4 linked regions of the Caenorhabditis elegans genome follow. The protein of the gene in region 4 purifies or fractionates together with the protein of the main gene of each other region. This does not show direct contact. Each region holds a gene or a part of one and is shown on either strand. Other genes may lie near its edges.

Region 1 (8,318 bases), on a different chromosome or scaffold from region 4:
TCATCACATCGTAGAGATCGTGACGACGCTAGAAGAAAGGATAGAAGGCGTGATGATGTAAGGAAAAAAGAAAGGCGAGAGAAAAGAGAGGAAGAAGATGATGATCAGTAAGTTGAATTTAAAGTTTCCTCCTTTCTACATGAAAATTTTCAGAAAAACCAAGGATGCTGAGTCGAAGGACGAAGATGAGATCGACATCGACGGTATCATTGCTGAATATGGTAACGTCCAGGCACAAGACACAGATGGAGATGCACAAGTTGCTGATGAGAATGCACAGAACGATGAAGATTCAACTTCTCCGAAAGAAGAGAGCGTGTCTCCAAAACCTGATGAAACTCACGAGGAAGATGCTGACGAGGAACCAGTTGACGAAGAAATGGACACAGAAGTAGTTGTACGTGACAAGTCAATTGATCCCGTATATCAAGCAATGGAGACGAGTGAAGCTGAAGTGGCGGAGACAAAAGAGGAATCAGTACCAGTTGAGGAAGATGAGGAACCTGAAAATCACGATGAAGATGTGGAAGATCACAAAAAAGAGAAAGAATCACAATCGTCTACTATTAATACAGCAGATGAAGATGACGAAAGTTCCAAGAAAATGAAGAAACACAAAAAAAGTAAAAAGAACAAGAAACATCATCGGAAAGAGGAAGACGGTGATGAGGATGAGGAACGAAAACGGAAGAAGCACAAGAAGCACAAAAAAGAGAAAAAGTCAAAGAAGGAGAAGAGAGATGAGGATGAGGATGATCTTGATACCGAAAAGAAAGAAAAAAAGAAGGAAAGAAAGTATCAGGATGATAAAGATGAGGATTCTAATAGAAAAGAGCCAAGATCTCTAGATGATGAGGACAAAGTGGAGTTGGACAAAAATTTTGCTGACAAAAAAGAAAAGAAGAAAGGAAAATGGAATGAGGATGAAGAGGACATCTTCGAGGATAGAAAAGAGGAGCTTCCTAAGGAATCCGATCGGAGAGACAGGAAAGACCGTAGACATGATGATGAGGATGATCGTAAGGAACGTCGGCATGAAAGAGATTCTCAAAAAATTGATGAGCAAGATAGAAAGAAAGAGAGAAAGCGAGATCGAGAGACCGAGGCATATGACAGTGATGTAAGTTTTGGTTTATTCTTATTTTTAGATTAGTTGTTTTAATTGTTGATTGTTTTGAGGAAAAATTTAGCAATCAGAAATCATCTTCCGGGTTTAGGAAAAATGAACAAATTTTTATAGAAATTGCAGGCCCCCAAGACAAAGGTGAAGCGTGAAGACAAGAAGCGTGACGATCGGAAAGATTATGAACGGGACAGGGAACGCAGGAAGGATGACTATGAAAAGGAGAAGAGTAAAAGAAAGGAGAGTGATCGGGATAATGAAAAAGAGAAACAACGCGAGAAGGAAGTGGAAAAGGAACACGAGAAGGATCGCAAAGAGAAGCGGAAAATCGTTGAGAAAGAGTCTGAGAAACCACGAAAATCGGTTCATGAGCGTATGCAGAAAGCTGACTCATCCACTTCTTCAAGCTCTAGAACTACTACTGCTCCATCACTTGAACGAAAACCTGTCTCGTTTACTGTTGCTTCGAGCAAACCAACGACAAACATCAGAGTTCGTCAATACTCGTCCTCATCATCAACCAAGGAACAAGAAGATGAAGAAGTACGTTTTATTCACAAATATTTCACTAAAATTCAATTAATCAAAAAATATATAATTTAAAAATTTTAGCGGTCGAAGCGGGATCGCCGGAAGAAGGACGAAACTGACGTGGAGAGCATTGGGGAAAAGGAGAAGGTAATTTTTGTTGTTTTTGAAGAATTTTAATCTTAGATATTTCAGAAATCTTCGTCTCGAAAAGTTCCAAAGGAGAGTGTAGATGTCAAACACAAGAGTACCAAGATTAAATTTGATCTTTTGTAATCATTTTTGTATCTATATTTGAGTTATTAATTATGTTCCATCCTATTATTCGTTTTTCTCATATTCCCCCCTATTTTTCTAGTTCTTCTTAGAGGGAACCACATCTACTGTGACTTTGATTCTCTTTTTTCACCATTATTTTTTTTTTCTAAAAACGCTTCCATTTTTATTCATTTTTCGTCCCATCTGTGGAATTATTCTGTTTTTTTTTCACTTTTCTTGTTCCTGTTGGAATAAAAATTCCGTTTTATTTTTACTCTATTTTTACCTTTTTTCTTATTTTTATCCCAAAATTTCTCGGTCCTGAATTTGCCGCAAATAATATCAGAATGGCTAATTTTACAGATTCGATTTCAAAAAAAGCGCCGAAATTAACCTTTTGGTAATAAAATCGAAAATTGAAAAAAAAGTTTTGGAGAGAATGCGTACATATGTATTTTAGATGATGAACACAAAATTGTTGAAAAATTTTACTTTTAAATAACATTTAATAATTCAATAACAGTCGAATTTGATATCTTAATTGAAAAGATATAAATATTCTTTTCCAGATGGATATTAAATTTGAAGGAAACGATGCCGAGTGCACAGCTGGCCTGAAAAAGGCCAGTGAAGGAAGTTTTGTATTGAAAGATCACGTTCTGATAGAATTCAAAATCAACGGAAAAGTGGCGGGAAAGATAAAGACACCATGTGAGGGTGTAGTTACTTTTGGAAAAGGTCTTAAACCAGGAATCGTATTGAATAAGGTAAATTGAAATTATTTATTCAATTGAAACTGTTTTCATTTTCAGGGTCAAGTGATTGCTACAGTATCCGAATGTACTCATGCAATTGTTATCAAAGATATGTGTGCAACATGTGGTAAAGATCTACGTGAAAAGGGAGGACGAGCCGGTCAGAGAAAGGAACAATCAACGGCTAATGTATCTATGATTCATCATGTTCCAGAACTTATTGTGTCGGATACGGTTAGCATCATTTTTATTACCCGGATGCGGCGATTTTTTCAATAAAAATACGGTAACCGGTCTCGCAAAACGTTGTGCGCCTTTAAATAGCTAATGCAGAATTTTCATCGTTTTTCGAAAGTTAATTAAAACTTTAAAATAAAGCAAGTTTAAACTATTTTTAAGTAAAGTATACGATTTTGAGAAAAATAGAAAACTTCATGAAAATCCCATAATATTACAGTTCTTTTTAAAGACGAACATATTTTTGCATTTATCAAAAATTGTCGTGTTGAGACCGTGAACCGCATTTTTGGCTCAAAAATTCGCCTACTAGGCAAATAATATTTCGATAAAAAACTTTTTTTTCAGCTAGCAAAAGAGATTGGATCAGCCGATGAAAACAATCTGATCACCAATAGAAAACTCGTATTGCTTGTTGATTTGGATCAGACAATTATTCACACTTCCGACAAACCAATGACTGTGGATACTGAAAATGTAAGAATCAATAGTTTTGACGAAAAAAAAGTTTTTTTTCAGTTTTTCTCAGAGAAAACTGAAAAATTGAAAAAAAATGTTCCGAAAATTAGCAAAAAATTAAAACACAAATTTAACGAATTTTGGTCGTGTCGATGAAAACAAATAATTTCAAACAACCATATAATTTTCTTCTAGAAAAAAAATGGCCAAAATGTAAAGCCATTTTTCGAAAAAAAAAACACTTTTCAGAAAATTAATAAAGATTTCAAAAAAAATTTCTCATCGAGCTTCTATGTAAATGATAAAGTTAGAAAAGCATAATTTTCTTATCGTAATAAGAAAAATCGACAAAAACTTTAAATTATTTTCCGAGAAACCTTTTTTCTAATTTAATTTTGGTACAAAAAAATTGTGTTTTTTGATTTTCTAAAATTATCGAAAAATTGTCACTCTTGATAGGAATACTCATATATTTTCTATAAATTTCAGCACAAAGACATCACCAAATATAACCTTCACTCTCGTGTTTATACCACTAAACTCCGACCACATACAACAGAATTCTTGAATAAAATGTCAAATATGTATGAAATGCACATTGTTACCTATGGACAACGTCAATATGCTCATCGTATTGCTCAGATTCTTGATCCAGATGCTCGACTCTTTGAACAACGCATTTTGTCTCGAGATGAACTATTCTCGGCTCAACACAAGACCAATAATTTGAAGGTATAATTTTTAAAAATTAAAAATAAAAATAATTTCAAACTCCAATGGAGTTTGCCCAAAATTCGCAAAAATCACGAAAAAAGCGAAAAACTAAAAACTATAATTTTAAAGTCATTTAAAAGTTTTTTACAAATTCTTCGTTTTTTTGCTCTTTAATATAAAAAAACGGAAAGTACATTTTTTGTCAAAAAAAAACACCATTTTTTTTAAAGCGAAAAACAAGAAATCTTCAGCCCTGAAAACATGAAACTCGTAGAAAATATTAATCGATCAGAATTGTGATGAATGAAAAATGAGTTTTCATCAATTTTTCGACTGTTAATGAAAATTTCAAATTTTTAAAAAGTGTTACCATGAAATTTGGTTTTTTTTTAACATCATAGAATAAGTGTTAAACACAACAATTTTTATTCAGGCTCTATTCCCATGTGGCGACAATCTTGTAGTGATTATTGATGATCGATCAGATGTCTGGATGTATTCTGAAGCACTTATTCAAATCAAACCTTATCGATTCTTCAAAGAAGTCGGCGACATTAATGCTCCAAAAAACTCAAAAGAACAAATGCCAGTTCAAATTGAAGATGATGCTCATGAGGATAAGGTTCTTGAAGAAATTGAGCGAGTTTTAACGAATATTCATGATAAATATTATGAAAAGCACGATTTAAGAGGATCCGAGGAAGTGTTGCTTGATGTAAAGGTAAATTTTCATTTTAAATATTTAGTTATTGAATTATTATTCTAAGTTGAATATTTAAGTCTTTTGGACTTCTAGAAGTTGATTTTCAGGAAGTGATCAAAGAGGAACGACACAAAGTTCTTGATGGATGTGTCATTGTTTTTTCGGGAATCGTACCAATGGGTGAAAAGCTTGAAAGAACTGATATTTATCGTTTGTGTACTCAATTTGGAGCAGTTATTGTACCAGATGTGACTGATGATGTTACTCATGTTGTTGGAGCAAGATATGGAACACAGTTAGTTTTATCATTTTAGCATTTTAAAATTCTTTTATTTTCAGAAAAGTTTATCAAGCCAATCGTCTCAATAAGTTTGTGGTCACAGTTCAATGGGTATATGCTTGTGTCGAAAAGTGGCTTAAAGCAGATGAAAATCTGTTTCAACTAACAAAAGAAAGTACTCCTCCAGTTGGACGTCCACTTGGATCAAAGTATGTCAATGATTTGGCAAATATGGACACAATTGGGAAAGCCGCGTTAGCTGATATGAATAATGAAGTAGATGAAGCTCTATCGGATGATGAAGACGATGGAGACAATGAGGATGAGGATGATGATGGGAATGATGTTGGAGAAGATAAGGGAGATGAAAATTTAGAAGAGAAACAAGAGAAAAATGAAGAAGAAATGGATGATGTTGAGCAGAATGGATCTGTTGAGAATCAATCAGGAGATGCTTTGGAAAACGAGACAGATTCTACATCAAGGGGACAGAAAAGAAAGCATTGTCCTGAAATGGAGGACGAGGAAGAGGTAAGAAACTTGAAAATAATTTATTCCAATAATATTTATTTCAGGAATCAGATTCTGATAATGAGGATGACGATACCCCTATGTCGTACAAAGCACTTTTGTCAGATTCACGCAAAAAAGGTCGAATTGTTCCAGAAAACGAGGATGATGCAGTATTTGATGTTGATGATGAGGTAAAAAGGGCGGCAAGTATAAAAAATTGAAAATAAAACGGAAAGTTTTGAATTTATAGTGGCTAAAATTAATAGTAGTGAATTTTTTGAAAAAAGTTAAATTTTGGCTTCTTGAGCTTAAAAATATCAATCCAAATCGTTCCAGTGTCTAGAATTTATCGAAAAATACGACATTTTATCGATATTAAACAAAAATTCAAAGAAACACGTGAATCATTATTCCTGCTTGGGAGATCAAAAGTGTTTTGAAAAAAAAAGACTTTTACAGAAAGGCCACGCACCAGCTAATATAGATGAAGAAGAAGATGACGAAGACAATGAAGATGAGGAAGTACCGGAATCTGATGATGACGATGAGTTCGAGGATATGGCTGCATTGATCGAACGTCAGATTAGCGATGCAGTAGATGAAAAAGATCAATGAGTTTTCTGTGAAATCATCATGTGCTATTATTGTTTTCATTTCCTATTATTCTTTCAGTTGTTTCCCATCTTTTACATCTCATAATTATCACCCCCGTTCCCCATTTGATTCGATACTCAATGTTTTCTGTACTATTTACCTCCATTTAAATGGGAATAATCTGACAATTAATGTCGGCTGCTTGATCAGAGTGATTTTCATCAAATCAATCAAAACTTCACTAGAAGCCTGCATTTTTGTCATATATAAACGTTCACGGTTTGGAATATAGATTGCTTTTTATTCACTTATCTTTTGCCTTTTGATTGTAAATTCAAGAAAAGTCTGTCACTATGGAGTTATTCATCTTTCGATTGCTTACTTAAATACCTCTATTTTCATTTTATCGAATTAATTTTTTTTTCTAAATCGCGTCATTGTCTCATTTCTTCTCTCGTTTCACGTTGATCGTTATTATTTTTTTCTGAAAATGAATGAGATTCATTTCTATTTTTCTTGCTGACGCTTTCGCAATGCCGTTTGATTCGGAAGTATGATTTATTTTTTTCGAATTATAGGATTAATGTATAGTATTTGTTACGCGAGACCAAAAAAAGTTTCATGTAACAAATGTAGTACAATGTTTACATTTCCACAAAAATCAATAATTTACAATTTGTATACAATTCAATGTGGTCTTATATTACACAATCAATCGTTTCAACAACACGTTTTGCCGAACTGGATTTTTATCGATCTTTTACTATTTCCTTATTATTAAAAGTTATTAAAAGCTATATATTCGCAAAAAGTTTTGAAAAAAATTGGTAGAGTGATTAGCTATTGAAAAAACTTATTTCATTTCCTTTTAGTGACTAGTTTATTTACCATTGCAGTGAAAGTTTATGAAAAAAGTATTTACTTTTCTCTTTTGAAAAGAAATATTTTCTCGCATTTTTTGTCTATAGAGCATTTTTGCACACACGCGCACTAAGCGCCTTTTTTGTATGTATTTTCAGCGGTTTTTATCGATTTACTCATTGTCAAGAATCTTTTCAGTTTGAAGCCTATCTCAAAGCCAGAATGGATTTCAATCGAGATGCCGGCAATGAGACAGCCAGTCAGCTTCAACTCAATATTCAGAATTTAAATCAACAAGGTTTGCACGAAATTTTTTATTAAAAAAAACACGTTGTACACTAAATTTCGTTTCAGTTATTCAATTGGAATCCTTTATCACAAATCTATCAGATAGCAGTGAATCAGGACAAAGAGAACGGGAGCTTTTCAATCGCGTTAGTTATTACTCTCTATTAATTAATATTACATTAAAATATTTCAGAAAGCTCATAATGCTCAGGAACTCTCGAAGGAAACCAATGCCCTGCTGAAAAGATTAGTTGTGATGAGCAACTCTGATGTGAGTTTCAGTATAAATTTTTATATTAAACTTTGGTGAAGGCAAAATTTTTCAATGAATTTATATTTTAAAAAAATTATCCTAAGGTTTTAAAATTTTATAACATTCAAAAATAAATCATAAAATCACACGATTTTTGTTAAATAAAAAAAACTTAAAAAAATAATTTGAAATAATCTTATTATCAAAATATATAAACTGGCATGTGTAAAGTGGCTTATTTTTTATTTTGTTTTTTATTCAAGCTCCTCCCATTCCTGACCTTTCGTTAAAGTTTGTATTTATTAGTTCATTTTAAAAAAATGGGAGGAGCTTAAATAAAAAACAAAATAAAAAATAAGCCACGTTTCACATGACAGTTTATATATTTTGATAATAAGTGGCCTATTCAAGTAGTATCGGAAAATTAAAAAGTGTAGAAAATGACGTCACAACTATATTAAAATACATGTTTTTGTATGTATTTGATTACAGTTGTGGCGCCATTTGTCTACAATTTTCCGACTCTACTTGAATAACCTCATAAATCAATTTTTAAATCCGAAATTTAAATTTTCTGAAAATTGATTTCAAACTCATTTTGTATTGATATTCATATGAAAATAGGAAATACACGTTTGGGAGAGATGTCTTTGAAGGAATATTTTATTATAGTATTATCAACAACATTAAAATATTTCAGAAGAACTTACGAGGAGTCCGAGAGCGTCTTCAAAATGAGTATATCGGAGTGC
Region 2 (7,939 bases), 6.0 Mb from region 4:
GAGAGAAGGAAGAAGTGAAGCGGAAGACTACGAAACAATCAGTGAAAGATTTTGGTTGGAAAAGAGCTTCACAAGGGCTTACTCATCACTTATGCAGCTACCATTTCCTTGGGAAAACAGCGAGGTTTCAAACTCAGAATTTTAAATTTGATGACCTTGAGAAAAGGACACACTTACCGGTTTTAAATCTGCAGTTGCTAAATGTACAGAGGACTTGCAAACCAAAAATTGTGAACTCTAATTTCTGTTTGTTTTTTTCGTTTTCGAAATTTTTTAATACTTCGAACTTTTTGAAGATTGCTTACCTGCGAGTTTTTATCATGCTTTTCAAGTTTGCCGCTTGAAGTGATATGACAAAGAAAAACGTTGCAGGCTGGGTTACGCGCGATTTAAATTTCAGCTGTCATTCTTAAACTTTACATATTCTGGCAAGGTATTTATATATTAAAAGACCAATTCGCCTAATTCTACTTGAGAGTATTCACTGTGGAGCTACAAAAAAATTCCAAAAGTAAATAAAGTTGTCGAAAAACGGTTTTTAAAAATTTGCAAAGAGATTCATTTGAATCTGTTTATGTTGTTCAGAAATATCCGAATCTTTAAAACAACTTTTCTCAAATTAAAAAACAAATGATTGTTTTTTCCCTTGCAAAATTGCAACAATGAACGCCATTACGTGACTTTTTGCGAAGAAACATGACTTTTTGCTAATTCACATAAAAATTTCAATGAATATTTTCTAGTTTAAAAAATAATCGTATCTTGCAAGGTTTTATCAGGCTATATTATAACAATTATGATTTCTCTTTCAAATCTTGATATTAAAGTTCTTGTCAGCAATCATCACAACATATTATAGTTACAATAATCAATTGATCATGCATTAAAAAACTCACCTCCTTATTTTTTTCCAATTTTAACAATAGTTTTGGAAAAGGAGACCAGCAAATTGGTTCGGTTGGCGCCGAAAAAACAAAGGCAGAGTTAGCGTTGGAACGTGTCAATTGTGTGTGCAGAGAGTATGAATATCGGAACCAAATAATAACAAATTCAATTGCTTGGCACCACAACCATGACGTGTAGAATAGGTTTTAGTTGTTGAGACGAGAAGAAGCACCGAACGAACGATTTTGCATATTTGACCTTGTTACCTCTCCTTATGGGAAAAGGAAATTCAATGAGTGGGACAACAAGTAGGGAATAAAAGAGCTCCCGATTTCATGAATAAAACCGAACAGAATGTGACAAATTGTAGGTCTCACGGAGTCGAACGGAAAACAGGAAAGAGCGCGAATATAGGCGTGCAAAGATTTCAGAGATGCATTACGTTTTCCGCCGTTTCATTAAACGAATGGGAGTCAAAAACTGAAAGATTGGTATCATCTCATCGATGAAATTGACAGAAAATATTCCACACGAGTAAGCTTCCCAAAACTAGAAATAGTTACTATATTTTACATTCTGATAATAGATTTTCCAATTAAAATTTTAATAATTTATTCTTTATTGATTACATTACTCAAAAACATAATTATCCCCGACCACGAGAGCTTTTTAAAACTTTGACCAAGCCGGACTGCTTATCAACTGCCGACCGGCAATTCTACAAAATCAGCTAGTGATGCTCTCTCTTTAATTAAAATTAGTAGTTTTAAAAGAAAGAAAAAATGTTTTCACCATCTGAAAATAACGTTTGTTTGATTTGGAACAACTGAAAAAGAACTCAAAAAACTAAGTAAGTAGGTTTTTTCCTGCAATTTTCAGCTTTTACACAATTTTGAGCACTTCTTCAGTTGTTTCAAATGAAACAAACTATATTTTCAGATAACGAAACAATTGTTTATACCTATGTTGTACTTTTTTGATTTTTTTACCAATAGGAATGCGTAAAGCATTTTTTTAAAGAAAAAGTCAGTCTAAAATCACAAAAAATTGAAAACTTCAATGAGGAATGATCTTTCGAATTTTATGAATTTTATGTTCGTTGATGTTTTCTTCTCAAAACTGATTTCTTAACTGTCTTATGTTCAAATCGAACACATCCAGACGTGTTCCTTATTCAACTAATCGTCATTATCCAGTTTCAGCAATGAAGTGTAATAGAGGGTGAAAAAGGCAACATCTTCGACCCGGTTATCATCATCAGCAACCCTCTTGTTTCTTTATCACCTCTATTTCTTCATTTGCCAGTGTAATGCACTTTTTCATCGATGGGCCACCGCCGACGGATCACGGCATCCGTGGCATGCATTCCTATCTCTTCAAGGATTCCCTTCCTCTTTCCACCCGCCAATAATCAACAACTTAATTTCTATTCAGACCGTACCTGTTGTTCACCTCATCCCGATTGATCTTGTCGCCAATTATCATTTTGTTTAGTTGTGTGTTGGGGAGATGGCTATACCTGAGAATTTGAATATTATGAGGGCAATGATAACGAAGAAAGGAACACATATGGAAAAAGATATAAAATACATTGAATATGGGAGGAGGAATAATTATAATAGACGAAGATTGCATCGAGGTCTTGAAATTTTGATTTTAGTTATTCAAATTTCAAAATAACAGCCATCATTTTGTCGGTTTTTCTAAGAAATGGTCTACATAGTTAAAGGTCTATTGTTTAAATAAACATTGATACTCATTTTTAATTTAATATACAAAAGTTGGAGTTTCAAAATTACAAGATTAAACAGTGGACATGGACGAAAATTGCAATCCGTGCTCATTACACTTGAAAAGCTTTTTTGAAACTTATATTAGTAAAAAGCTAGGTCCCGTACACCATTTGTAGGTGCAAATTATCTCAACTCAAATCAATCACAGGGAAAATCTTTTCGTACAGACATGAATTTTGTTCATTAAATTTGAGCCTACACCCTTTTTCTGATTGTAGCTCCCAAATGACGTGTGTGAACAAATTAAACCCTAGAACTCTGTACCATATTAGTTACAAAAAAATACTCGTTAGAATTGTCAATATGATTTTAGGCTTCTATTTGCTTCAAAAGGTCAAAATTCTATCACGTGCTTCTCAAGTCTGACCCAGAATATCTTAAAACTCTTGCTGATATCGTATCGTTTCCGCCTAGGTAAATCCACTCTCGATTTTTTATTCAAAGGATCACATCACAATGAAAAACCCTCGCACATTCTCAATATCCAATCATTAGACGGAAAAATGTGGAAAAATGCCGAAAAAATCCAGTTAGCCATGTAAATCGCGAAGGTTGATGATGCATCAAACAAGCGGACAACATTGCAAAAACTCGATTTTTTTCTCGCTTTTCCCTCAACCCATTTTATCGTTATCGACACCAGTCTCCTCATTGCGAGTGCCTCCGCCCTCCGGATGACTATTTCGGCCCCTTTCCCCCATCTTTTTGTCGACTATCCACAAATGTACAAATACATGAGATTAGATGCGTACCTTTCATCAAATTTATCCGTGATTATAACTTTTGTCGTTTTCTTTTTACTTTTTCTTATCACTTGTCCGTTCATGGAATTGGATATGAACGTACACATTTGTATTACGCAACAATATATTCTACATGTACCCGTTCCATAAGTGGTGATTATTTAGAGAAATTGTCTAGAATCTAGAACTATTAGTCACGCCTTACTGACCAGATTTAAGATACTAATGAATAAATGTGAAAGTGGTTTGATTTATTGGCATGTTTATGCCATTCACACGTCATTTCGATTTTCCCTATAAATTTGTATTCTTTTTACTATTTTCTCACATACTTATTTTTTGCTTATTTATATTTTCTGATTCCTACCCAATTTCAGAAGACATGAACCGGTGCATCTTGCTCGCTCTCTTACCCCTTATTTCAGCGATTCCAGTTGCTGTTAATATAGATGATCAAGACGTAAGTTTTTTGTTTTAGTGGTTGAAAAATAAATAGAGAATTAATTATAGGCAGTGAATTTGGGAGCTTACGATCGAGCACGATTTGATCTCGTAGAAAGTTTCCACCCTCTTCAGCCAGCTTCTGCAGTTACAAGTAAGTGAAATGTTTGCCTGGTGGAATCAATAGATATAAATTGTTTTACAATTATTTTTGAAAATAGATTATTGAAAGCATGGCACTAATGAAAAATTTAGTCTGCCGGCTGTGATAATTAATCACTTTACCGTATGCTGACACTGTAGGCAAACATTTTTACTTTCAATTTTTAGGAGAATGTCTCTAGAATACCTAGCGAGCTTTATGTAGGCACAAAATTTGTTTCTGTTTTTCAGGATAGGTTTATCACAAAATTTAAGGTATTCATTCATGTTGTTTAGTAACATTCGTTAGCGGCTAATTTTATTTTAGAAAAACTAGGAGAATGTAAAAAAACACAAAAACACCGGAAAATAAAAGATTAGGAAACTAACTTACTTACAAGGGGAATATGATATGAAATTGGCGCGGAGGGAAAGCTACTAGTTCTCAAATCATTTGAAAGTAACTCGACACCTACCTGAAGCTAAGGGACACGCTGGCTAATTGTGAACAAATATTGTTCAAAAAATTCAGTCTCATACAATTGTTTGTCAGCTTTTACTTGTTAAAAATATTGGCATGGGATTTAGTTTTCGGAGAAAGAAACACAAATAACCCATTTTGTTGAATCGTTTATTTAAGATGCCGAACACTTTTTGAAATCTTCGAGACTGTAATTATTTGATAATATGTAAACGGTCAAAATGTTTGATTTGGTTAAAAATGAACATTTTGGTGTTTATCTTAATTTTTATAAAGGCATATTATTTGCGACATATCTAGTTTTCTAATATTTCCAAGTTCCTGAAAAATGAACTGTTCTGAACGAAAAAATATTCTTAAAGGTAGATATATTGTTAAAAACAACTGCTATGATGCTAAAACGACCATTATAGCAAAACTTCCATATATCATATGAAAACTTTCCAAAAAATTTTTTTAAACATTTTTATTGACAGTCAAAAAGTGGTAATTAGTGAGTTTTCGCTACTTTTTGATAAAGTTTAAGCATTATCAAAATTTTGAATCCCTTCATTGCTTGGATATTAATATTTCAAACATAAGTAGACTGTATGTAGAATTCGAAGGAAAATTTTTGATTGACGAAATTCAAAAAACAAATGGCAAAAATTGAGATCTTCCCAATTTTTTAAAGTTTTTTGAATTTTTTATTATTATGATAGTTGATTATGGTGGTGCCACACTTCTCCATCTTTAAAATTTCAGTGCTGAACAATTCTTTAAAATTCACAGATTTCTCTAGAGTCTTTAGAGCAGAAAATAATTTGAGAAAGCACTGACGTATTATTGTCAAATGTTTGTCAATATTTTTACAGCCATAGAAAAATGTTTTAAAATCTTTAATAATGAAAAAATAAATAGTAAATTGATTTTATAAAATAGTGTGAAATTTTCAGACGATCAAATTGCTGAAGTGCGTGCCAAAGCAGCTGGTGTGAGGCAAAACGAAGCTTCAATTTCAATTGACTTGCCAACACAAATGCTTTCCGGGAGTTCGGGAAGAATTCCAGAAAGTAAGCCACTAATTGACATTTCTCTAACACGTGTGACCATATCGGAGAATAGAAAACAACAAAAATCAAGAATTATCACATAGCTGTGTGAGCTGCTCGGACATGGCTCCGTGAGAATAAGCGCGAAAGTCGTAGAAATAGACACGTTTTAACAAAATTACTCTATCGGTTAAAGAAAGCTTTGGAGCAGGGCGTCTAAACAAAGAAAGAAGGAATGGAGAAGAAGTAGGCGGCTTTGGAAAAATAATAGAGAAAAGGACGAATATTTTAAAATATTATGAGACAAACTAGGGGCGCAGGGGCAACATTCTGAATTTTTGATTGAAATTTGACGACTACTCGGAATTATCTATTAAATGATCTTCTATTAGTTATTTAAAGGATTAGTTGTTATTTTTGACATTAAAAAAAATAATCCAATTTTTAGTTTAAGAACTTGGAGAAGACTACAAGTCAAAAAAAATCGGGAAAGAATCTGCAGGGTGTGTCCTCACAGAAGATTGTTGTTAATTAGTAATCTTGAACTTTAAAATTTAAGGATTCAACCGAATCAATTTTGAAATTTTGAGACTTTTTGAAGATGGATTTTTTTGTAAGTTTGTATTATAAATCAGCAAAATCAGATTGGAAATATGTTGAAGTTTTTTTGCAACTATTTTAAAAAAATTTGAGTGGAAACTAACTGAAAAATAAGAAAAATAATTAAAGCTTATACTAATAAAAATAAAAAAAAAAAACCAAAACCTTATTTTCTGTTTAAAGTTTATCAAAATTAGGCGAATTTTATTGAATTTAGCCGAGAATTACAGACAAATTTAAAAATGAAATAATATTTTGAAACCTACTTTGGGTATTTTGAAGTTTTTATCCCAAAAAAAGAGACTTAATTTAACTTTAAGAAAAAATCACGATTTGAAATGGAATCAACGAACAGCTCTTTGGCTTCTCTATATTGAAAATTGTAGTTAACAATTTTCCGAAAACGGGATTCGTATTTATCAGAATCATATTTCTTATGATTTAGTATAATTTCTTGGAATTTACTATCAAGAAGAATACAAACACTTTATAAAATATTTATGACAGAACTGAAAGACGCATATAATATGAGATATAAAAAGAGCTAAACATGAAAGATGTATCCACTAGTAGCATCGTGTCTAATTCGATTCGATTTGCAAGTTTCAATATTTTGTTGTTGATTCCCTTGAGAGATTTGAGAGAGTCTATCACATTAGAACATTAATCTGTTCTTATCTCTTTTTCTCTTAAAATAATCACTTTTCAGGATTGGCGTTCGGAGAATGGACTGAGTGGACTTCATGGTCAATGTGCCAAAATGGAGAGAGATCAAGAGTTCGTACATGTGTTTCCAGAAAACCAGCTCTTCGTGTTGTATGCCACGGAGATGCTATTGAGGTGAGATTTTCCTTTTATATAAAATTATTCAGTGATAAGTTCATTGAAATTAGGTGGTTAACCAAAAAAGTTTTCCGCGGATCATATTTCTCCGAGTTTATACAATCTGAAGAGCAATTTTTGATGAGAAGCTTCATTTTTTTGTTGGTTTTTTGTAATAAATTTTTTTTGCAATAATTTAAAATCTGAATTATTTTCAACACGGAAGAAATTGATTTCAATTAATGTTTTTACAGATTGAGAAATGCTACGTTGACGCCGGAGAAGGTCATATTCCAGTTGCCGCCGACCCATGGTCCATCGAACGTGAGATTAGCGGAGATTTTGCCTAAATCCGAACAATTTCCGAAGAGAGGAGCACAGAGACCTCTTATTTAATAATTCATTCATTTTCTCACAGTCAGTTCTCGAATTGTATGCACTAATTGTTATTTTCGTTTTCCAATTCAATCTAATAATAATTTATTTATTTATTGTTTTTTTTTTTGACACTGCAAGAGAGGTCTCAAATGGGACCTACAGGAAAAATTGAATCGGTATTAATTTTTCAAATGCTCATTAATGGGAATAACACAATAATGACAATTATGAGAATTTTATTATTAATTTGAATTCACAAATTGTTATTGAAAATTTATAAGTTTTGTTGAAATATACTCACTATCAAAATAGTAAAAACAGAGAAAATTAAGGCATTTGTCATGTTTGAACCCCTAAAATGCTTAGGTACAATATTAGAACATGCTTCAACTATTTTTAAAAATTCAAAAATGTTCGAGCAGTTTTAATATTAAAAACAATGCAACATTAAGCAAATTTTTAGAATAATTTCTCCCCACTACTCCACGTTAAATTTAAAGTGAAATTTCAAAATTTGACTCAAATAAATGAAACTCCTACATTTAATTTTAGAAAGATCATAATTGTTTGAACGAAGTTCAAATTTTTCAAAACATTTATTTTCAAATTTCAGAAAATAATAAT
Region 3 (6,736 bases), on a different chromosome or scaffold from region 4:
AAAGTATTACAGGAACACACAAAATTCAAAAAAAATCCATATTGCACAACATATTTGACGCGCAAAATATAACTATATCTCGTAGCGAAAACTACAGTAACCCTTTAAATGACACACTGTAGCGTTTGTGTCGATTTACGGCATCTCTTTGATTTTTTTGAGATTAATAATTTTAGTTTTTTGTACTATTTTCTCTTATTTTTTTAAAAAATATTCTATTGATAAATAAATTTTTTTTTAAATTTCAAAAAGCCCGTAAATCGACACAAACGGCTACAGTAGTCATTTAATAGATTACTGTAGTTTTCTTTTCGCTACGAGATATTTTGCGCGTCGGATATGTTGCGCAATACGCATTTTTCAGGATGTAGTGATTTTCCGAATCAAAGATGTCGGGTTTTCGATTTTTCAAAATAGTTGAAAAGCGGAAATTTTTTGATTTTTCAAAAATTGCTTGAAATTTTAGGCATTGTTCTTATTTTTTAGAATAAATATTTATTATTTTTCTCATCAAAGAACAAAATTAGATTTTTGAAAAAAATCATATTTTATAGTTTCTGAACTTTTTTTTTCGATTTTTCAGAAAATCAAAAAATCTAAAATTTATCGTTTTTCGATTTCAAATTTTTCGATTTTTTCTCAAAAACATCGAAAAAATCGAAAAACAAAAATTTTCGATATTTGGAAAAAAAAATCTAAAAATTTTCGTTTTTCGGTTTTTAAAAATTCGAAAATTTTCGTTTTTCGGTTTTTAAAAATTCGAAAATTTTCGTTTTTCGATTTCAAATTTTTCGATTTTTCTCAAAAACATCGAAAAACAAAAATTTTCGATTTTTGGAAAAAAAAAATCTAAAAATTTTCCTTTTTCGATTTCCAATTTTTCGATTTTCACGTGGTGGCAGGCTGTCCAATTACGGTTTGATCTACAAAAAATGCGGGAATTTTTTGCCCAAAAAATGTGACGTAAGCACACGTTGTTAACCATGCGAAATCGGTTGAGAACTCTGCCGCATTTTTTGTAGATCTACGTAGACCAAACCGAAATGAGGCACTCTGACCAAGGGTGTCGGTTTTTCGATTTTTCAAAAAATTGAAATCGAAAAATCGAAAATTCTCGATTTTTCAAAAAATTGAAAAATCGAAAATTCCCGATTATTCAAAAAATCGAAAAATAGAAAATTCTCGATTTTTCAAAAAATTGAAAAATCGAAAATTCCCGATTTTTCAAAAAATTGAAAATCGAAAATTCCCGATTATTCAAAAATCGAAAAATCGAAAATTCTCGATTTTTCAAAAATTAGCTCGAAATTTTCTTCATTTTTTGAAAAAATTTTAATTTTTTTCTCATCAATTATTTTTTATGGTTAATTTTTCGATTTTTCAGAAAATCTAAAAGTCGAAAATTTTTCAATTTTTTTCAGATTTTCCTCTAAAATTCTTCATTATTTTTCCACTCCTTCCACTCCAACCTTGGTCGCATCGGCTCCCGACGGTGCTGGATCCTTCGCCTCTCTAGTAAACCTGACAAGCTGTTTATCCTGAATCGTGCTCCAAAGCTTAAACTGAGCCCTCCACTGTTCGACAGAAACATTGGAATTCGCCAACACTAAACATCTCTTGTTAACCGTCGTCACAGCAGTCACTCCGACAAGCGTCTTTCCGGCTCCACACGGCAGAACAATCACACCACTTCTCGCACGACTATTTCCAAACATTTTCCGTAGGGATTTCTCCTGGTACGGACGAAGTGTAGTCGATGGTTTCAGATCAATTCCAAGGTTCGGATTCAAAGTGTCATTTCTGAAGTCGTACTCGGCGAGCAGTGGATACTCAAGCTCGATACATCGTTTTTGCACTGTTTCGATCGTTTCTTGTTTGATCTCAAACGTTAGAAGTTGCAAATTTCGAATCTCTGCGTCTTCCTCATCATCTCCATCGATTTTCCCGTAGAATTCATCAATATCAGCTGGAACTTTTCCATCTGTCGCCGCCGCCGCCGTACCGTCTGCTGCTGCTCCATCCTTTTCCACACCCTTCTCATTCTCATTTCCATGTGAGAATTTGATTTTTTCCTGTGCAGGAAGCTCGGTTTGCTGAGCAGGTTGCACACGATCATCTAGAATACACGACTGGATCACAGAGTCCTTGAGAAGCTTCTGCATAACATCGGAATGTCGCGATTCGACAAAGTATCTGTTATGCTTGAGCACAAGCTTAACCTTTCCGTAGCTCACAGTGCACATTTGAACGAATGTGATGACTCCTTTTGGCAGTTGACTTTTACTTAATCGTTCCAGGTATTCAATGATATCTTTTGTTTGTAGGCCAACTGATACAGCTGCGTAGAGAGAATAGGCAGTTAGCTGGTATTCGTGGATGTGTTGTGGACGGCAGACGGGCTGAAAATTGGAATATGTAGCAGGGATGGGTGGCGATTGCAGTTCGGCAAATTTTTTTCTCGATAAATTCTGCAATTTGCCGGACTTTTTAAATCCGGCACTTTGACGATTTGCCGGAAATGTCAAATTCGGCAAATCAGCTATTTACAAGACACGTTCAATTCCGGCAATTTGCCGATTTGCCGGAATTTTAAACTCCGGCAATTTGTCAATTTGCCGGAAACTTTCAATTCCGGCAATTTGCCGATTTGCCAAAAAATTTCAATTCCACCAATTTGCAGATTTGCCGGAAAATTTCAATTCCACCAATTTGTCGATTTGCCGGAAACTTTCAATTCTGGCAATTTGCAGATTTGCCGGAAAATTTCAAATCCGGCAATTTGCCGATTTGCCGGAATTTTAAACTCCGGCAATTTGTCGATTTGCCGGAAACTTTCAATTCTGGCAATTTGCAGATTTGCCGGAAACTTTCAATACCGGCAATTTGCCGATTTGCCGGAAATTTTCAATTCCGGCAAGTTGCCGATTTGCCGGAAAATTTAAATCCCGACACTTTGACGATTTGTCGGAAATTTTCAATTCTGGCAATATGTGTAAGAGATAATCGAAAAATTGAAAAATCAGAATTTCGATTTTTTTTTTTTGGAAAAATTTAATATTTGTTAATTTTAGGCTCAAATTTTCAGTCATTTTCCATGAAAAAAAAGTGCTGAACCTCTAAAATTGACCTGAAAAGCACTAATTTGGAATTTTTTACGGAAAAAAAAATTAAAAAATCAAAAAAAAATTGGCCAAACATAATTTTTACAAATAAATCTTTTCAGATGAATCAAATTTTTTTAAATGAATTTTTTTCAGAATTAACTGAAAAAAGACGTTAATAACCTCTGAAATTGCAATTAAAAAGTCCCTGGCGTGCTTGTAAACCGGGCTGAACGACTCGAGGAAAATATGACCATCCGGAGCAACCCACAGCGGTCTTGCAGTGAAATCACCCTGAAAATTGTGAATTTTCAATTAAAATTTGCCAATTTGGGTTGAAAAACTCGAAAAAAAGTGTTTTTTAACGATTTTTTGACCGAAAAAAACAAAAAAAAATAGCAAAAATTCGTAACTTTTTACATTTTTCAGACCGAAATTATTTTAGAATAAAGTAATTTTTACGATTTTCCCTGGAAATTAACCAAATTTTCGATATTTCGGGGGAAAAATCGTTAATTTACTGAAAATTGGGTGAAAAAATCATGAAAATTAGGGTTTTTTTGCCAAAAAATTGTAAAAATTGCCATTTTTCTGGGTTTTTCAAGCTTGTCAGACCATTTTTTCGAATTTTTAGAGCTTCTCCATACTTTCAATGGCATATCCTTTCGATAATCTTTGGCTCCAAACTCATCAGTCATCACTGACGACGCATTTTCTCCGTTCAAATTGTGCGAGGCAGCTTTTGGAACTAAAAATTTAATTTTTTAATTCGAAAATTTCCAGGAAAAGAGCCCCGCGTTACCAGAACTAGTTTCCTTGTCAGCATTTCCAGAATACAATGATGGAGCTTCTTCTGCTTTGTAGGTATCCCATTTTCCGCGTCGTTTTCGCTCTTTCGTCGCCATTTCTTTTGGAAAATTGAAAATTCGTCTAAAATACGAAAAAAAAGGAAGAAAACCGGGGGAGAAAAAGTACGCAAATACAGCGAAATTCACGACAATATGCAGACACAGGAGAGGAGCCAGAGGGGAGACATATAAATTTATAAAACAGCTAGTTCTTTTCACTAGACTTTCATAATAAAACAAAAAACAAAAAAAAAAACGAATATTTATAAATAAACATTTAATTCGATCCATATTGGGCGGCGGTGATCACGTGTACGTTGGGCGGCAGATTTTTGGGAAATTGAATGACGTTCGTTTCTTCGAAATAGACATTTCCTTCGCAGGCCACGGTGCGGCGAGACTCGATTTTTATAGTTTCGTGGACTGTTTCGACGGCTGAAATGGCTGAAATTAACAAAAAAATTGTTCATAATTATTAGAACGCGATCTCTCGCGGCACCTCACGAACTCCAGAATTCGCGGGAACTCGTTTCGCGGGGACAGCAGTTTTTGGCTTCTATAGGAAATTATTTTTATTTTTTTGTTTTATAATATTCTTGAGAAGCATCATCCGAATTTAAAATGTGTGAAATTATGAAATTTGACCGAAAACTGAAGGTTTTACAGGAAGGATTCGCTACGGCTTTCTTTAAAATGTATCAGAATCGTCAGTTTTTCGATTTCAGTCGTAAAATATGCCATTTTGTAGAGAAAAGTCTGTTTCACAAAAATCCATGTTTGACATTTCAAAATTGTTTTTATTTAAAACCTGAAAAATCGAAAAAATAAGCTTTTAAAGGTGGAGTAGCGCCAGTGGGGAAATTGCTTTAAAACACGCATATGGTACCACAATGACCGAATATCATGATAAAAATTTTTTCTAGATTTTATATGATTTTTTGAAAATTGAAAAAATCTCAGTTTTGCCTAATTCCTATTTGAATTACCGCCAATTGGATTTGTTCGATGGAGCGCGCTTGCACGTTTTTATTTTTATTTATTGTTATTTTTTCTTATTTTTCACCGACTTTTCATGTTTTCAGTGTATTTTTGTCTGAAATTTGAAGAAAAAGTCAAAATAAATGCTAATTTTCGATTAAACAGCACGCTTACAGGCGTTAAATTAAAAAAATGCATTTAAGCGATTTCGAACCCGAATTAATTAATTTCAAAAAATAGCATTTATTTTGACTTTTTCTTCAAATTTCAGACAAAAATACACTGAAAACATGAAAAGTCGGTGAAAAATAAGAAAAAATAACAATAAATAAAAATAAAAACGTGCAAGCGCGCTCCATCGAACAAATCCAATTGGCGGTAATTCAAATAGGAATTAGGCAAAACTGAGATTTTTTCAATTTTCAAAAAATCATATAAAATCTAGAAAAAATTTTTATCATGATATTCGGTCATTGTGGTACCATATGCGTGTTTTAAAGCAATTTCCCCACTGGCGCTACTCCACCTTTAAAAGCTTATTTTTTCGATTTTTCAGGTTTTAAATAAAAACAATTTTGAAATGTCAAACATGGATTTTTGTGAAACAGACTTTTCTCTACAAAATGGCATATTTTACGACTGAAATCGAAAAACTGACGATTCTGATACATTTTAAAGAAAGCCGTAGCGAATCCTTCCTGTAAAACCTTCAGTTTTCGGTCAAATTTCATAATTTCACACATTTTAAATTCGGATGATGCTTCTCAAGAATATTATAAAACAAAAAATCAAAAATAATTTCCTATAGAAGCCAAAAACAGCCAAAAACTGCTGTCCCCGCGAAACGAATTCCCGCGAATTTTGGAGTTCGTGAGGTGCCGCATACATCTGTAATCCCTGCGAGTTTCGTTTCTTCGATGGTGTTCCTTCAATGGACGTCGGTGGTTTTCTCGTCTCTTATCACGCCATTGATGCTCCGATCTCAAAGTGCCATTACTTTCAGATTTGGCGGGAGACTTCAGTTGCTCCATATCTCTCGACAATCCACGTGACGATGAGAAATCTTGAGTTGCGTAGGAATAGGCTCCATAATACGAGTCACGGGCCGCTTGATTAGCTTTTTTCACATCTTTTTGGTCTTCCGAGTCGGAGGACGGCTTGTCTGAAAAATGAAATAAAAAGATTTAAAAAAATAAATTTTTAGCTTCAAATAAATACCGTCAAAAAAGGATCCAGCTCCTTTACCGAACATTTCAAATGGCTCAGTTTCTTGTGTGCTCGGCGCTGGCCAAGGATTCGGTGCACGGCTCGTTTCTAAATTTCTTCCAAATAATTCTTCTACGGCGATTGAAGTCATTTTTTATTGAAAAACGCGTTTTAAAGTGAGAAATGCGTGGATTTGCGCATGAAAAAATTTTAAAACACACAAAAAAAAATTTGAATGACAAAAAATGTCGTGGCGAGACCCACCGCGCTACCGTACCCGATTCTCTGCGTCTCTCTCGATGTGTGTGCTGAAGAGCGGTCTCTCGGAAAACAAAATTTAATTTGTTTTGTTTTTATTTTATTTTGAAGTCGAAAATTTCCGTTTTCCCTATTGTTCAGTGTATTTTTTTCGGAGAAAATCAATAATTTGTCAGATAAATTGCATTTTCCATCATTTTCGCGCGAAAAAAACCGTCCAGTAACACATTTTCCGATGAATTTAGGCCCGAATCCCTGTTTTCTGGTTTTTTCTCAATTTTTGTTCGATTTTTCAGTGTTTTTTGCGCAAATAATCAATAATTTGCCGAATAAAGTGTATTTTCA
Region 4 (8,476 bases):
CTGCGAAATCCTTCAAATCGACACTTTTTCGATTGATAATTCGAATTTAGAAGACGGCTGGTACGTTGGATATGGCGTCGAGTACAATGGCGTCGGAATTTCGGCCGCCGGGGGGGCTCCAGACAGCTCGGCGAGCAGTGAATCCGGTGATCTACCGCCGGCTGAAAATCGAGAAGCCGGCGGCGGGGAAAGCAGCGGATTCGATTCGGATCCACCGACTGATGATGATGATGATGAAGCACCGCAAGAGCTGCTGGAACGGCGAGAAAGTGATGATATTAGTGATAAAGGACAGCTTTTGTATGGATTGGACAGTGAATTTTATGTTGATAAGGCGCTGAAACCCACAAATGTCGAATTTCACGATAAAAATGACACGAAAAGCTTCAAAACTGGCGAATTTGTGTAAGTTTCGAGGAATTGAGCCCCACGTGGAAACTACAAACTACAAGTTTTGGGCGCTGCTCAAGCGATTTCCGCTGAAAAATCATAAAAATTCCCAAATTTTAACGAATTAAACAGAAAATTCCGTCGAAAAATGCGAAAAAACCGGCAATTTTGGTTAATTTTGAGCGAAAATGTGATTTTGGGCGCTGCTAAACTACAAACTACAAGTTTTGGGCGCTGCTAATTCAATTTTGGGCGCTGCTTAGAATACAAACTACAAGTTTTGGGCGCTGCTTAGACTACAAACTACAAGTTTTGGGCGCTGCTAACACTACAAACTACAAATTTTGGGCGCTGCTTAGACTACAAACTACAAGTTTTGGGCGCTGCTAATTCAATTTTGGGCGCTGCTTAGACTACAAACTACAAGTTTTGGGCGCTGCTAAACTACAAACTACAACTTTTGGGCGCTGCTAATTCAATTTTACGCGCTGCTAAACTACAAACTACAAGTTTTGGGCGCTGCTAACACTACAAACTACAACTTTTGGGCGCTGCTAATTCAATTTTGGGCGCTGCTAAACTACAAACTACAACTTTTGGGCGCTGCTAATTCAATTTTACGCGCTGCTAAACTACAAACTACAAGTTTTGGGCGCTGCTAACACTACAAACTACAACTTTTGGGCGCTGCTAATTCAATTTTGGGCGCTGCTAAACTACAAACTACAACTTTTGGGCGCTGCTAATTCAATTTTGGGCGCTGCTTAGACTACAAACTACAAGTTTTGGGCGCTGCTTAGACTACAAATTACAAGTTTTGGGCGCTGCTAACACTACAAACTACAAATTTTGGGCGCTGCTAAACTACAAACTACAACTTTTGGGCGCTGCTTAGACTACAAACTACAAGTTTTGGGCGCTGCTAATTCAATTTTGGGCGCTGCTTAGACTACAAACTACAAGTTTTGGGCGCTGCTAACACTACAAACTACAACTTTTGGGCGCTGCTAATTCAATTTTGGGCGCTGCTTAGACTACAAACTACAAGTTTTGGGCGCTGCTAATTCAATTTTGGGCGCTGCTTAGACTACAAACTACAAGTTTTGGGCGCTGCTAATTCAATTTTGGGCGCTGCTTAGACTACAAACTACAAGTTTTGGGCGCTGCTAAACTACAAACTACAAGTTTTGGGCGCTGCTAACACTACAAACTACAAGTTTTGGGCGCTGCTAATTCAATTTTGGGCGCTGCTAAACTACAAACTACAACTTTTGGGCGCTGCTCAAGGGAAAAATCAGTTTTTTTTTCTGAAAAGTATCGCCGAAAACTGAAAATCTCCAATTTTCTCCTCAAAAATTGCAATTTTCGCACTGAAATCTATGAAATCCCATAAAAAGATCTTAAAAAGACATTTTCTCATTGAAATTTGAGCTCAAAAATATACGAAAAATCGATAAATTTCAGAAAAAACACTAGCAATCGGGACATTTTGCTCCAAAAATTCCGTTTTCCGACAAAAATCCGGGGTTTTCAGCTTAAGAAGTGCGAAAAAAAAGAATGAAATTTACACTAAAATGCTTGATAAATAAGATTTTAGACCGAAATTTCCAAATTTTAGCTCAAAATTATGCGGAAATTCTGCATTTTTCGGTTAAAAATTCCCAAAATTAAAATTTTCAGCACAACACAGCGCTTCGGAGTAGCCACCACCACCACAAAATGCTCTGAAACCGACGATGAATTTCCACAAGGTTATCAAATCATTGGTGATGGAAATGTTCCATGTGCCACCACGTCAGAAGATGAGGATGACGTCATCACCACCGATAACTTTGATGACGTCACCACGAGCTCTGGATTATGGTGCAATTTCGTGATATCTCCGGATGATTTTGTGAGAAAAAATGATGTGGAAAAACTGGAAATTTCCGAGGAAAAATCGATGACAATACCGCTTGATGGTGACAAATTGGCACAGATATCCGCTGCAATGGCGAATTTTCAGTTGCCTACACCGCCCGGCTGGGAGGGTGTCAGCGATTCGAAAATATTGGAATTTGTTAGACAACGAGTCTGAAAACTGTGTGCTGAAAATCCAATAAAAATCACTTGTTTGCCGGGTTTTTGCTGAAATTTTTGTTAAAAATTGAGGGTTTTTAGCCCGAGAAATATTGATTTTCGCTTTATTTTTCAGGATTTTATTGTTTTTTCCTCGAAGCTATCGATTTTTCTGCAAATTTATCGATTTTTCTGCAAATTTATCGATTTTCTGGAAATTTGTCGAATTTTCTGCAATTTTATTGACTTTTCTGGAACTTTATCGATTTTTCTCTCATTTAATTGATTTTTCTGCAAATTTATCGATTTTTCTGCAAATTTATCGAGTTTTCTGGAAGTTTATCGATTTTTCTGAAAATTTATCGATTTTTTTTAAAAATTAATTGATTTTTTTTTTGCAAATTTATCGATTTTTTCTCAATTCTTTCATTTCTTCCTCGATTTCATCGCTTTTCCACCTATTTTCCCCTGTAAAACTCTCGATTCTCCAGGAAAATGAGCCCAACGAAGCGATATTCGAATGACGTCGACTGTGAGCTGGCAAAACGGAGCATTTGGCTTGTAAAAGTGCCCAGATATTTGTCAGAGCTCTGGGATGCCAACGAGGGAAATGTTGTTGGAAAATTGCAGATTGGAGCGCAGGTAAAATTGGAAAAAATATTGAAAATCCTGTTGAAAATGCTGAAAATGAAGTTTTTGGCCCAAAAATAGTGTGGAAAATCGGAAAAATCTGAAATTCTGGTCAAAAATGTGATTTTCAAAGGAAAAAACATCGATTAAATCATAAAAGATATGAAATTTGGGAAAAAATTCAAAAATAAGGTAGAACCGTCGTTTTTTGGACAGAAAAATACCTCAGGTTTTCAAATGAAAAAAATCTGAAAAATGTGGAAAACGGCATTTAATTTTCAATTTAATGACATTTTTCCTCGAAAATCTGAATTTTTGTCTCAAAAATTGACAAAAATCGATTTTTTGCCGGAAAAACTGGATAATTCCACTGAAAATTTGACATTTAACCAATTTTTCTGTGTTTTACATAAAAATGCACTGAAGAAGAACCAAGAAATTCGAAATTCTACTGAAAATGCGGAAAAATTCGAAATTATTTTAAGAAAATTAAATTTTAACTGCTTTTTTAAACTCAAAATTTGAAATTTTCTGCTAAAAATTCAATTTTGATCAAAAAAGCCTGAATTTCTCACCGAAAAATGAAATTTTCTGAAAAAATTGAAAAAAAAAATACACCAGAAGCTTAGAAAATCGATTTTTCAATGAAATTTTCAGTGGAATTAATTGTTTTTCGGTTGAAAATCGATTTTTCAAGTTAAAACGCTAGTTTTACAGTGAAAAATGCTCATTTTTAGAGTTTTTTCACGGGAAAAATGCTTAAATTAGGACATTTTTCTCCGAAAACTGAATTTTTGGTTTAAAAATTTAAATTTCAGGTCGAGCTTCACACCGCCAAAGGTCTCATTCATCCCAAACCAAAAGAGCCCACAGAGGGCTCATCATCTACAGTAACCCAACCAGAAGCCTCGGAAATTCCAACAGAATACTCATTTATTCTTCATGACGTCAAATCTCAAACAATGAGCGTTTTATCCGAAGATAAGCAGGGACTCGGTGCAGATGCTCCAATCAAAACTGGAAAACTGGCAATTGAGGGACGAATTATCAAAAAAGCGGAATGTCGGCCACCGGCCACGTCGAAATATATGAAAATGAAGTTGGCACATATTGTGAAAAATACTCAACCAAAGAAAACGGTTAAAATGATTGAAAAAGCGGCTGTGAAGTTTAAGCCCGTGTCTGTACATGCTGAAGATATGATTAAGAGCAAACAGAAGAAGGATGGAGCTAAAACTTATCGAGCTGATAGAGATGTGCTCCGTGGAGCTCTTTTCAAAGCTTTTGAGAAGCATAGTTTTTATAGGTAAAATACTCGAGAAAACTACGGAAAATTTGTGTTGTTTTGGCCTTTTTCACTGCAACTTTTTCCTCACGAGGGACGAGGAAAAGTGGTTTCTAGGCCATGGCCGAGGGGAAGACAAATTTCAGCGGCCATTTATCTTGCTTTGTTTTCCGCCTGTTTTCTTTCGTTTTTCATCGATTTTTTTCGTTTTTTCTTAATAAAACTGATAAATAAATATTTTTTGCAGATGCCAAAACGATTTCCAAGTAAAAAAAAGTGTATTCAGTGGGCAAGCAGCGGTGAAAGTGGGCATTGTAATATGATGGATTACGGGAATACAAAACCTAAACTTTTTCTTAAACATTATACATATGCTGCTTAGATGCTGAAGCTACCTGATTTTCATAACGAGACCGCTGAAAAAGTTTTGAGGTTTCCAAAATTCAACTTTTTGTGCGAAAATCTCGACTTTTTCACCAAAAAAGTTGAATTTTGAAAACCCTAAAACTTTTTCAGCGGTTTCGTTATGAAAATCAGGTAATTTCAGCATCTAAGCATCATATGTATCATGTTTCAGAAAAAGTTTAGGTTTTGTATTCCCGTAATCCATCATTTTACATTGACCATTTTCACCACTGCTTGCCGACTGAATACATAATTTTTTTACTTGGAAATTGTTTTAGCATCTGCAAAAAGTATTTATTTATCAGTTTTATTAAGAAAAAACGGGAAAAGGCTGTGAAAAACGAAAGAAAACAGGCGGAAAACAAAGCAAGATAAATGGCCGCTGAAACTTGTCGGCCCCTCGGCCATGGCCTAGAAACCACTTTTCCTCGTCCCTCGTGAGGAAAAAGTTGCAGTGAATTTTTTGAAAGTTTTAATAATGGTGTAGTCGAATTATTTTTATCGCCTTATTAGACTCAAAATTGTCTAAAAACACCGAATTTCATAATGAAACTTCTTGAAATCTTTTCAGAAAAGAGTTATGACGGCTCAAAAAATGGTCTAAAATTCGTTAAAATCGGAAATTTGACTTGTCAAGCGGCTCAAAACTATTTTTTTTTGAAATCACCGTCAAATTTTAAGTTTACAAGTTGATCATCTTGCGTTTTGAACTTGATTAAGGTATTTAAAAATCGATAGACGGCGAGATTTTTAATTTTTTCAAACCCAAACTCGCCGTCTATCGATTTTTAAATACCTTAATCAAGTTCAAAACGCAAGATAATCAACTTGTGAACTTAAAATTTGACGGTGATTTCAAAAACAAATAGTTTTGAGCCGCTTGACAAGTCAAATTTCCGATTTTAACTAATTTTAGACCATTTTTTGAGCCGTCATAACTCTTTTCTGAAAAGTTTTCAAGAAGTTTCATTATGAAATTCGGTGTTTTTAGACAATTTTGAGTCTAATAAGGCGATTAAAAAAGTCGACTACACCACCTTTAATGTGGTTTTCCCACAAAAAACTACTGGAAATTTGCAGTATTTTGAGCTGATAACGAATTTTTGGGCGCTGCTTAGACAACAAAAACTACAGTTTATTTCATTAAAAACTGGTAAAAATTCTGGAAATTCGAATAGAAACCGATTTTTAAAGTAAATTTTGCCAGAAATCCACAAAAAAATGGCAAAAATCGGATAAAATCTGAATTCGAAGATTTTGGGCACTGCTAAAGCTACAAACTACAAGTTTTGGGCGCTGCCAATGAATTTTGATGCCGAGAATTTGAATTTCTGTTGAAAAAATGAGTAAAAATCTACATTTTTGAAGGTTCATGGTTTTTCACCAAAAAAAACTGCAGAAAACACCGATTTTTAAACAAAATCTCACCGAAAAATATTAAAAATTGGCGGAAATCGGTTAAAATCGGTTCAAGATCCGAATTTTTACATTTTGGGCGCTGCTTAGACTACAAACTACAAGTTTGGGCGCTGCTAATTCCATTTTGGGCGCTGCTTAGACTACAAACTACAAGTTTTGGGCGCTGCTGATCCGAATTTTTTGCAATTTTGGGCGATTTTTCAATTAAAAATGGAAGAAAATCTATATTTTCATTCAAAAAGTGTCAAAATTTTACGTTTTACTCATTTTTAAAGGGATTTTTACAGATTTTCCCAAGAAAAACTGAAAAAAATAGGCAAAAATTGACGAAATTCCACGTATTTTGCACCTTTCGTTGAGTTTTTTTAGGAAATTCTACACACAAAAAACTGTAAAAATTGGGTGTTATTTTGGTATCAATCGATTAAAAACTGCATTTCAACGTTTTGGGCGCTGCTTAGACTACAAACTACAAGTTTTTGGGCGCTGCTAACTACATGAAACCTCGTTTTTTTGCCAAAATTTCCAAAGTTTTTTCAAAAATCGCACATTTTCGCTAGAAATTTCCGATTTTCAAGCCGAAATATGCGAAAATAATGAAAAATCACACATTTCTAGTGTATTTTTTGGAATTTTTAACGAGAAACACACTAGTTTCCTCCAAAATTTCTAACTTCTTAGAATTCTGTGCATTTTCGATGAAATTTCGGATTTTTTGGCTGGCCGCTGCTTAGACTACAAAAACTACAATTTCTCGCATTTCAGACTTCAAGATCTTCAGCAACTCCTTCAACAACCGGTCAGCTACGTCAAAGAAGTGCTCCAAGAGATTGCCGTCTACAATACTGCTCCACCGCACAAGTCTCTGTGGTGCCTGAAACCGGAATACTGTAACTACAAAGTCAACGCACAATCGGAATAATTCCAACTTTTTTTTGGACATTATTATTATTATTTATTTACTATACATCTCTTCTTTTTTAAAAACATGATGAACACTTGTGAATATTGGGGATTTTTGAATTTTTTTTTTTTTGGATTTCTTCGTTGATTTTGGGTTATTTAGCCCAGTTTTCTATTTATTATCAGATTTTTTTTCGTTTTTTTTCGAGAAAAATAGGAAAAAAAAATTGATTTTTTACTTCTTTTTTTTTCAGAATGGTCAAATTTCAAATCGAAAAAAAGACGCTTCTGGGCCGCTTGGGCAAAATCGACACATGGGGCTCCGTGGAGGTTAACCACCAGACCCCATCCTTTCAAACCTACCTACGAGCCGGACATATTCCCCACCTGACATGGGAAGTTGCTGAGAATCAGCTGAAACTCGAACAAACCCACATTTTTCAAATGACGCTCCCAACGCTGGTGTCAAACGCGAAAATTATCGAGAAATTCGGAAAAGGCGCTGCGAAATTTTGTGGGATGCCTGCAGGCGCGGCGGTTCACCTGACACCGTTTGACCCGCTTGGAAAGCTTCCCGGAGGGTATAATGACTCGAAATCCGTCGCGATTTGGACGGCAAACGGAAAAGTTTCGTTGGATGTTAAAATGTGGCGGGAAATTATTAACTCGTTTGGTTGTGGCTCTATTGAGACTCTTGTCGACTATGATACACCGAAAGATGTTGGACAGAAGAAGCTTGTTAAGGCGGTGGATAGGACGAAAACCTTCCAAGAGCAGCTGTTTCAGCAGGTAGCGAAAAAATCAATTAAAAATTTGAATTTTTCAGGGGAAAAAATGAATGAAAAGCTACATTTTAGCATGAAAATGACTTTTTTTGTGAAAAACTGGTGAAAATTTGGTGAAAATCGGTTGAAACCTGGATTTTTTTCATTTTGGCGCTGCTAAGACTACAAACTACACAATTTTGGGCGCTGCTAATTCAATTTTGGGCGCTGCTTAGACTACAAACTACAATTTTTGGGCGCTGTTAATTCAATTTTGGGCGCTGCTAAGACTACAAACTACAATTTTTTGGGCGCTGCTAATTCAATTTTGGGCGCTGCTAAAGCTACAAACTACAATTTTTGGGCGCTGCTAATTCAATTTTGGGCGCTGCTAAAGCTACAAACTACAAGTTTTGGGCGCTGCTAATTCAATTTTGGGCGCTGCTAAGACTACAAACTACACAATTTTGGGCGCTGCTAATTCAATTTTGGGCGCTGCTTAGACTACAAACTACAATTTTTGGGCGCTGCTAATTCAATTTTGGGCGCTGCTAAAGCTACAAACTACAATTTTCTCGATTTTGAACTGAAAAATGACTTTTTTCCAGCTTTTTTGAAAGTT

The links.
Region 1: the proteins of gtf-2F2 (region 4) and fcp-1 fractionate together in Caenorhabditis elegans (co-fractionation; one large-scale study listed by BioGRID). This does not show direct contact.
Region 2: the proteins of gtf-2F2 (region 4) and F15B9.8 fractionate together in Caenorhabditis elegans (co-fractionation; one large-scale study listed by BioGRID). This does not show direct contact.
Region 3: the proteins of gtf-2F2 (region 4) and xpb-1 fractionate together in Caenorhabditis elegans (co-fractionation; one large-scale study listed by BioGRID). This does not show direct contact.

Annotation. Positions count from the first base shown.
Region 1 is NC_003279.8:9,002,869-9,011,186, reverse strand, and holds fcp-1 (RNA polymerase II subunit A C-terminal domain phosphatase), read left to right. Parts: upstream 1-2,478; coding exon 2,479-2,676; intron 2,677-2,721; coding exon 2,722-2,898; intron 2,899-3,249; coding exon 3,250-3,378; intron 3,379-3,849; coding exon 3,850-4,092; intron 4,093-4,507; coding exon 4,508-4,795; intron 4,796-4,884; coding exon 4,885-5,072; intron 5,073-5,116; coding exon 5,117-5,588; intron 5,589-5,632; coding exon 5,633-5,761; intron 5,762-6,029; coding exon 6,030-6,185; 3' UTR 6,186-6,674; downstream 6,675-8,318. Other genes in the region: rbpl-1 (E3 ubiquitin-protein ligase RBBP6), read left to right, coding at 1-107, 154-1,120, 1,241-1,666, 1,736-1,801, 1,847-1,927; syx-7 (t-SNARE coiled-coil homology domain-containing protein), read left to right, coding at 7,248-7,323, 7,380-7,459, 7,507-7,584, 8,267-8,318. UniProt on the Caenorhabditis elegans protein: During the late stages of oogenesis, dephosphorylates 'Ser-5' of the heptad repeats YSPTSPS in the C-terminal domain of the largest RNA polymerase II subunit ama-1.
Region 2 is NC_003283.11:12,984,758-12,992,696, forward strand, and holds F15B9.8 (Beta/gamma crystallin 'Greek key' domain-containing protein), read left to right. Parts: upstream 1-3,798; 5' UTR 3,799-3,803; coding exon 3,804-3,881; intron 3,882-3,931; coding exon 3,932-4,016; intron 4,017-5,419; coding exon 5,420-5,536; intron 5,537-6,824; coding exon 6,825-6,955; intron 6,956-7,191; coding exon 7,192-7,287; 3' UTR 7,288-7,427; downstream 7,428-7,939.
Region 3 is NC_003281.10:11,523,952-11,530,687, reverse strand, and holds the start of xpb-1 (General transcription and DNA repair factor IIH helicase/translocase subunit XPB), read right to left. Parts: upstream 4,032-6,736; 5' UTR 4,007-4,031; coding exon 3,904-4,006; intron 3,850-3,903; coding exon 3,749-3,849; intron 3,396-3,748; coding exon 3,285-3,395; intron 2,400-3,284; coding exon 1,470-2,399; intron 1-1,469. Other genes in the region: Y66D12A.16 (Spen family transcriptional repressor), read right to left, coding at 4,227-4,393, 5,814-6,089, 6,146-6,284.
Region 4 is NC_003283.11:18,991,001-18,999,476, forward strand, and holds gtf-2F2 (General transcription factor IIF subunit 2), read left to right. Parts: upstream 1-2,939; 5' UTR 2,940-2,943; coding exon 2,944-3,090; intron 3,091-3,896; coding exon 3,897-4,384; intron 4,385-6,952; coding exon 6,953-7,109; 3' UTR 7,110-7,200; downstream 7,201-8,476. Other genes in the region: Y39B6A.37 (Structural protein), read left to right, coding at 1-405, 2,071-2,467; tgt-2 (Queuine tRNA-ribosyltransferase accessory subunit 2), read left to right, coding at 7,346-7,879.